2 linked regions of the Canis lupus familiaris genome follow. The protein of the gene in region 1 binds, or shares a complex with, the protein of each later gene. Links are inferred from orthologs where the notes say so. Each region holds a gene or a part of one and is shown on either strand. Other genes may lie near its edges.

What was found.
Region 2: POLD1 (region 1) and DNA polymerase delta subunit 4 share a complex: the UniProt entries of both Homo sapiens proteins name them as parts of the tetrameric DNA polymerase delta complex. The link is inferred for Canis lupus familiaris from reciprocal best matches to the Homo sapiens genes POLD1 and POLD4.

What each region holds. Positions count from the first base shown.
Region 1 is NC_049222.1:106,967,415-106,970,335, reverse strand, and holds the end of POLD1 (DNA polymerase delta catalytic subunit), read left to right. Parts: intron 1-614; coding exon 615-747; intron 748-838; coding exon 839-952; intron 953-1,330; coding exon 1,331-1,383; intron 1,384-1,468; coding exon 1,469-1,566; intron 1,567-2,161; coding exon 2,162-2,267; 3' UTR 2,268-2,340; downstream 2,341-2,921. UniProt on the Homo sapiens protein: As the catalytic component of the trimeric (Pol-delta3 complex) and tetrameric DNA polymerase delta complexes (Pol-delta4 complex), plays a crucial role in high fidelity genome replication, including in lagging strand synthesis, and repair.
Region 2 is NC_049239.1:50,603,944-50,608,323, forward strand, and holds DNA polymerase delta subunit 4, read left to right. Parts: upstream 1-1,482; 5' UTR 1,483-1,701; coding exon 1,702-1,798; intron 1,799-2,017; coding exon 2,018-2,107; intron 2,108-2,323; coding exon 2,324-2,435; intron 2,436-2,809; coding exon 2,810-2,834; 3' UTR 2,835-3,861; downstream 3,862-4,380. UniProt on the Homo sapiens protein: As a component of the tetrameric DNA polymerase delta complex (Pol-delta4), plays a role in high fidelity genome replication and repair.

The sequences.
Region 1 (2,921 bases):
CACTGCTGGATGCAGCCCCCACACTCAAAACCAGTTTTTTCAAAAATTAGACAGTGGAGGGAGCCGTGTTACTCTGACTCCCCCTTCAGGAGATCCAGCCTAGGGTGCGCACCCCATTTCCCCATACCTGTTTCTGTGTGTCTCTCTCCTTGGTCCTTGCTCTCTGACCCATCACTCTAGGATTCACATCCTCCCCCATTCCAACTGGAGGGTCCAGTGACCTTTGACCCCCCCACACACAGCCCCTTCCTCAGTTTCCAGTTCCTGTCCTGCCCCCCTCATCTTGGCTTCTAGCTTTCACCTCCAGTTACCATCTACCTTCACCCCCAACCCCGCTATGAACTCTGACCCTTGCTTGGGAACCTTTGGACTCCCACCCACAGACCCCAACCCAACATGGGTCACAGCTTATGGCCGGGGACCCCTCAGGATCTGTGCCACCATCCAGACCCATGCCCCAGCACGCAGGGCAGCACCCGTGCCCAGTGACTGCCCCACCCCACTACCCACATGCATGCCCGAGAGACCTACCATCCCCTGGCTCCCAGTGCCCTTTGGCCTGTGGCCTGCTGCTGACCCGAGGATGTGACCCCACCCGGATTCTCTGTTTGCAGGACCCCCTCTTTGTGCTGGAGCACAGCCTGCCCATCGACACACAGTACTATCTGGAGCAGCAGCTCGCCAAGCCACTCCTGCGCATCTTCGAGCCCATCTTGGGCGAGGGCCGTGCGGAGGCCGTGCTGCTGAGTACTGAGGGGGAATGCCCAGAAGGGGGCTGGGCAGAGTGGGACCCTGGGTCATGGAGGACACCCAGTCCACTGTCTGCCCTCACCTGCAGGGGGTGACCACACACGCTGCAAGACGGTGCTCACAGGCAAGGTGGGTGGCCTTCTGGCCTTTGCCAAACGCCACAGCTGCTGCATCGGCTGCCGGACTGTCCTCAATCACCAGGGTAAATGCTGGGCCCCAGACCCCAGACCCCAGGCCTCAGGACCCAGGCCTCAAGACCCAGGACCCAGGACCCCACCCTCCACCAGCTCCTCCATTGCTGAGATTCCCGGCACCCGCCCTACAAGCTGGCAGTGCCACCCGGATGGGCCCTGGCTCTTGGGTGGGGGCTCCCATTACAGGCACCCCCTTGAGGGTCCTGGGCCCCTCGCCCCGGGAGTTCCCCGGGGACTTTTCCCTACACACTTGCTCCCTTGTTCTCTTGTCTCCCGGGGACTTTCAGAGGCCGGGATGGGCAGCGGGTGGGGAAGGGGCAGGGATAGGGCAGCCTAGGCCCTGGCTGGGCCCCAGCTCCCCTGTGCCGACCCACCCCCTCTCCCAGGAGCCGTGTGCAAGTTCTGCCAGCCTCGGGAGTCAGAGCTGTATCAGAAGGAGGTGAGGGCGTCAGGGGGAGAGGAGGGGATGATGGGAGGAGGAGTTGACTGGGGCGGGGGCCCCCTTTGAGCCATCTCATCCCCAGGTATCCCACCTGAACGCCCTGGAGGAGCGCTTCTCACGCCTCTGGACCCAGTGCCAGCGCTGTCAGGGCAGCCTGCATGAGGATGTCATCTGCACCAGGTACACAGAGCAGGCCCGCCACCCTCGCTCTAGCCTGCCCAGGTCCCTCCAGGCTCCCAAGGCCTGTGGACCAGAGCCCTAACCCCAGGGTGCCAGGTGGCGCCCTGCCCCACATCACTGACTTTTCTCAGCGCCCTGGCCTGAGAGGCCTGTGAATCGAGCCAGGGCTCATCCCAGCCTTGGGGGCGGGGGGGTGCTCAGTGGGCAGGGCTCACTCTGCAGGCCAGCATCTGCCCAGGAAATGGCCACAGTTCTCTCTCTCCTCTTATACACACACACACACACACACACACACACACACACACACACAGCAGTCGGGCCCCCTCCCCCAGGGCAGGCCAGGCTTTCCCCAGGGAACAGGTGGGCGGGGCTGGTTCCCACGCCAGGTGACAGGTGATATACGGCTGGTGGCCCAGCGCTTCCGCGGGTACCCGCTGTTACGGCTCCCCCCATGCCCACTGAGCAAACAGCCTGCCACTGGAGGGGGGGCTGGGTGGGCAGCAGACGGGGACCAAAGTCCTGGGAACAGCCCTGGCCCCATCACTGGGCTGGGCAGCCGCCCCAGCCCTGACCCTGACCCCCACCCCACCTGCAGCCGGGACTGCCCCATCTTCTACATGCGCAAGAAGGTGCGGAAGGACCTGGAGGACCAGGAGCAGCTTCTGAGGCGCTTCGGCCCACCTGGCCCCGAGGCCTGGTGACCTCCGACCGGGTTTCCAGACGCCAGGAGGGCAGTGGTGGAGAATTAATAAAGTTCAGGCCTTTTGTTTCCTAGTGCTTTGTGGTCTCTGGTGGGCGAGGTCCACTGTCATGAACCTGGGTCTGGGTGGGTCATCTTCACTCAGCAGGGTCCCCTGACCCCCGGAAAACCCCCTGCTGACTTCCTCACCTCTCTTCCAAGACCCCTGGGCTCCAAGCACTGCTGCCAGCCCCAGGGAAGCCAGGCCTGCCTCAGTGTCCCCCTGTAACCCTCCCTCAAGCCCCTGGGTGAACATCTAACCACATATCCTGTGGTGCCTGGACTGCCCCACCCTTCGGGTGCTGACCTGTTTCCGCCGGGCCTGGGGCAGCCCCTCGCACGGAAGCTCCCACTCCCCGGCACAACCCAGGGGACCCCCCTCCCATGTTACACACCCACGATGTTTCCACCTCAGGGTCCTCATAGGCCCTGGGCCTGGGTTTTCCTCAGAGATGCCCGGCCCCCCCCCAGCCCAGTCCATGTCCACTCATGAGTGTCCCAGCAACCCCATCTGTGCTTGAGTCCCTTGATGGCATGTGCCCCCTGGTTCCTGGGCCTGGGTCCAGGGCCCCCCCACTATCATTACTGACCCCCACTTCACTGACTACAGGACTCT
Region 2 (4,380 bases), on another chromosome or scaffold:
CTTGTATCTTAGAGCACCCAGAGCCCAGAGCAGTTGGATGAGGTTGTAGACAGAAACTTCTGAGTGGACCCTTGTACTCCTGGAAGAACCAGATAGGATCTCTAAAGGGCAGTTAGAGCTGGGCTGGTCCCTGTGCTGATTCCCAGACTCCCACTGACCAGCACTTTTGCCTGCTGCCAGGAAGTTGGTGAGGGGGAGGCGGGTGCAGGGGTGACTCAGCGATGACAGGAGCCCAAGGGACAAAGGTCATGGGTGGAGAATTGAGAGACACTGTTTACAGCAGCCCGCCTCCTCCAGGAGGTCTTCCAGTGTTAAGCTAACGCTGTGGTCCAAGTCCTCTCTGACCCACCCTTCTCCCCTTTCCTGTTTCTTAGTAATTTTGTCCTTGCATTGACAACTTGTGTGTCCCATCTGCCTACCCTGTTAGCCTCTGAGCTCCTCTGTGGAGAGGGCACAGAGGGCCCGTGATTTAACTGGGGCCCCACAATGCCTGTGATGATCAGCACTTCCTACTTTCAAAAACCATTTTATGGGGCCCCTGGCTGTCTCGTCTGTGGAGCACCCAACTCTTGATCTCGGGTCATGAGCTCAAGCCCCACGTTGAGGGGTAAAGATTACTTAAAAAAAAAAAAAAGAACTTTTTTTTTTTTTTTTTTTTTTAAGGAACCATTCATTTTACATCTATTTTAGTTGAGTGAGTATGTGGGAAAGTGCTGAGAACAGTACTTGGCACACCGTAAGTGCCATGTAAGTGTTTAGTTTATGGTTGGTATTTTCTGCTCTTACTGTCACATTGGTGAGACAGGGCAGATTTTACTGATAAAAAAAAAAAAAAAAGTGGGGCTACAAGCACGCTGGCCTCCTGCTCAGTGTGGAATCTTCCTGACTAGCAGGGTGGGCATGGGCGCGTACTGACCCCAGGAGAGTCGACGAGGCCAACGCTTGCCTGGACTGAGAGTGGGCAGGGTCTTTGGGCACAGACTGTGAGAAAGGAGCTTTGGAACCCAAGGGCTTCTCCAGCCGGGTCTCCTGGGGCCGGTGGGGGTGGGGTGGGAGCTGGGAAGGAAGGGGCTGGATCAGCCCAACGCTCCGCGGACCTCCAGACCTGCCCCCACAAGGCTCTGCGGGACGGGGGGTGGGAGTGGAGGCTCCAGCTGGACTCTAGGGAGTTAGCGAGCGGCCACGGGGATTACTGAGGCTGAAAAGAACATTTGCCTAGGAAGGGAAAACGGGAAGTGAGAGGCCGAGGATAACGCTCTATTAGTCCCCCGAGGCCCGCTGCGGCCCGACGGGGGGGCAGCAGGAGGAGGCGCAGTCTGGGGCGTCCCGACAGGTCCCCCACCCAGCCTCACCCCTTCTCCCGGAGCACAGCTGCGGCCGGCGCCCCGCCCCCTCGGCCTCCGCCGCCTGCCATTGGCTGGCGTCGGGCCCCGCCCCGCAGAGGCGGCCAACCATTGGCTTGGGTCTCTGCTGTTTGTGCGCCTGCGGGGGCGGGGGCCGCGCGTCATTCCCTGGAACCGGCGAACTTCCTCTCGGCTTGTCTGGGTCGCCCTGTCTGCCGGCCGCTGGCCCCGGGCTCGCCCGCTGGCCCCAGCCCTCTCCTCTCCTCTCTCCCTCTCTCTCTCAGCAGCTGTCTCTCTCGTGCCCGCTGGCCTCTCCTTCCCGCAGCCGCCTCCTTCTCCGCCTGCTTGGGTGGCCGCCATGGGCCGGAAGCGGCTCATCACTGACTCCTACCCCGTAGTGAAGAGGGGGGAGGGCCCCGCTGGGCACAGCAAGGGGGAGCTGGCACCGGAGCTAGGTCTCTTCCGCGTGCGGGGGGCGGGAGCACTGGACACCAGCGAGGGGCTTGCGAGGACGCGGGCGGACGGGGGTGCTGCGAGGGGAAGTGAAACATGTCCTCTACTTCCTACTGCAGGCCTGGCAGTGGCCGGCAGAGGCAAAGGGCTGGTGAGGGCCGGGGAGCAGTGGGGCAGCTGCGAGGCCGGGGGCAGGCCTGAGGAGCCGCGTGTCATTGCAGGGGAAGAGCCCCAGCCCCTGAGCGTGGATGAAGCAGAGCTGGAGCTGCTGAGGCAGTTTGATCTCGCCTGGCAGTATGGGCCCTGCACAGGTGAGAACCCTCTCAGGCCCCAGGAACACATCCTGGAGACAGTCCTGTCACCTGCAGGTCCCTGAAGCAACCCACGCCCCTGCCTGACCCTCTCGGGCACTGTCTCCCGAGACTAGGGGGTGTGGAGGCCCTGACACACCCCTCCATACACATTCTCCAGCCTGAACTCCTCCCCACCCCCCATGAGGTGCCAGTGTCGTCTTCTCACCCCGGCAGGGATCACACGGTTGCAGCGCTGGCATCGGGCGGAGCAGATGGGCTTGGAGCCTCCCCCAGAAGTGCGTCAGGTGCTACAGACCCACCCTGGAGATCCCCGCTTCCAGTGCAGGTCAGAGACAGGCCAGGAGGGCTTTCAGGGGAGCCAGGGGTTTCATCAGGCACCACCAGCCTGCTGGCCCGCAGGGTGGGGACTGCCCTGACCTGAGGAAGAAATGAATGTGGGCTTTGGGGCTTTGCTGAACAGGCAAGAAGGTGATCTCCAAGGTGCTTGGCTCAGGAAAGCAGAACATTGCTTTAATAATCCTTATCTCTGAGCTAATGGTGGGGTAAGAGTGCACCCAGGACCCAAGGGACTATCTATTTAGTACAGAGGGGTTGGCCAGGGACAATAAGCCATGGCCAAGAATTGGGGCTGGTGAAATCAGATCAAGGACTTAATTGTCTCTCTCTGGTTTCTCTGCCCCCACCCCTTCCTTTGCACAGCCTCTGGCATCTCTATCCCCTGTGAGGTACCACTTAAGACTTCCTGCCCACTATCCCAGGACCTCAAGACACAAGTGAGAGCCAGTTGCTGCCCCCTTGGCTCAGTTCTGCCGTGAAGAACCTTTAGCAGGAAAAGAATCTTATAGAGAAAAGAGGCTGAATCTGGAGGTCTCTGAGGCTCAGCCCTCCATCTAACCAGCAGGCTCCTGGAGCTCCCTCTGAGAGCCAACACAGCTGAAGCTTATACTTCCTACATGGAAAGTTGTCTCTGAGGATAAAGACTTGGCCATGACCCTCGGATGCCTGCTACACACCTCTTCAACCATAAAAACTGTGGTCCTGGGAACAGTGTGGCAAATAAGCACAGCCTTGGACACAGCTAGACTCAGGCAGATGTCTAAGAGGCAAAGATGCACTCCCTACTCAAAGCTGGGAATCTAAGGGCAGAACTGGCAAGGGGTTCCTAATGCTTATCAATAAAGAACACTGAGTCTGGAAGCCTAACCTCCAGTCCCTTAATGTGGCCCTGAGTGGGCTGCCAGCAACCAGCAAGCCGAAGCTGACAGGTGGGAGAGAACCAGAACTATGCTTTCCCTTTGCTGCCCAGGCCTAGACCTTGGCCAGAAGAAAGACACCTTAAAAGACCATGGGACAAGTCCACATTAGAGCTGATCAGCCTCTGGCGCCCCCTGGTGGTGGACAGGGAAACAACTCTAGTCACCTTCGAAGACCAGCCAGAGAAAACGGACCTGACCGGCTACCTAGCCTGCCCAGTGTGGCCCACCTCACAAAAATGGGTCCTTTGTCAGAGGAGAATCCATAGGGTTCACACCTCATAAGGTCCAAACCTACACATTCCCGCCAAGCACCTCTGCTTCCCACACTGGGGCCACCTGGATCCAAAGCAGGGTTGAGGAGGTTCTCAACCTGCAGGTCCTGCTCAGAGATGGCCATCATCTGGTGGGCTTTGGTGGGGGAACTGGGTAGAGCAGAAACAATGTTTAGGGGCCCCTGGGATGGTATCATATGGAGAATGGAGTCCGTGTTCCTCACTCTGTGTTTATCTTTACTGGCTGTCCAGCTCTGCATCCTGGGCAGAGACAGCACTGCTATTAACTCCTTGGGGACAGGCCTATAGAGCAGCCAAGTGGCCTCTCTAGCCCCCACTGTACTCGCCACTACCCGTGCCTCAAGGATCTTAAATGAATCATCTCTAACGTTCCTAAAGGGCTGTTAAGGTAGATTTTATAGAGAAGGAGCCTGAAGCTCAGAAAAGCTGTGTGGGGTTGCTCGGCAGTACTGGCAGGCTGGTGGTGGTGCAGAGATGAGAGGCCATGTGCACCAGGCTCTTCATGTCTACAGCCATGCCCCTGCCCATCTGCTGGGTACTTGCTGTATGCCGGGCTCTAGAGGTCCTCCTGGGTGTTGTTAGTGGTGAGGAGACAAAAGAAGACATACAGGTAAATATTACCTGTATGTGGTAATCAGCCATGTGGTGGTCAGTGGTAGGCAAAATTAGGGATAGAGATCAAAGAATGCCGGGGCTGCTTGGAGAGGTTGATCAGGGAAGC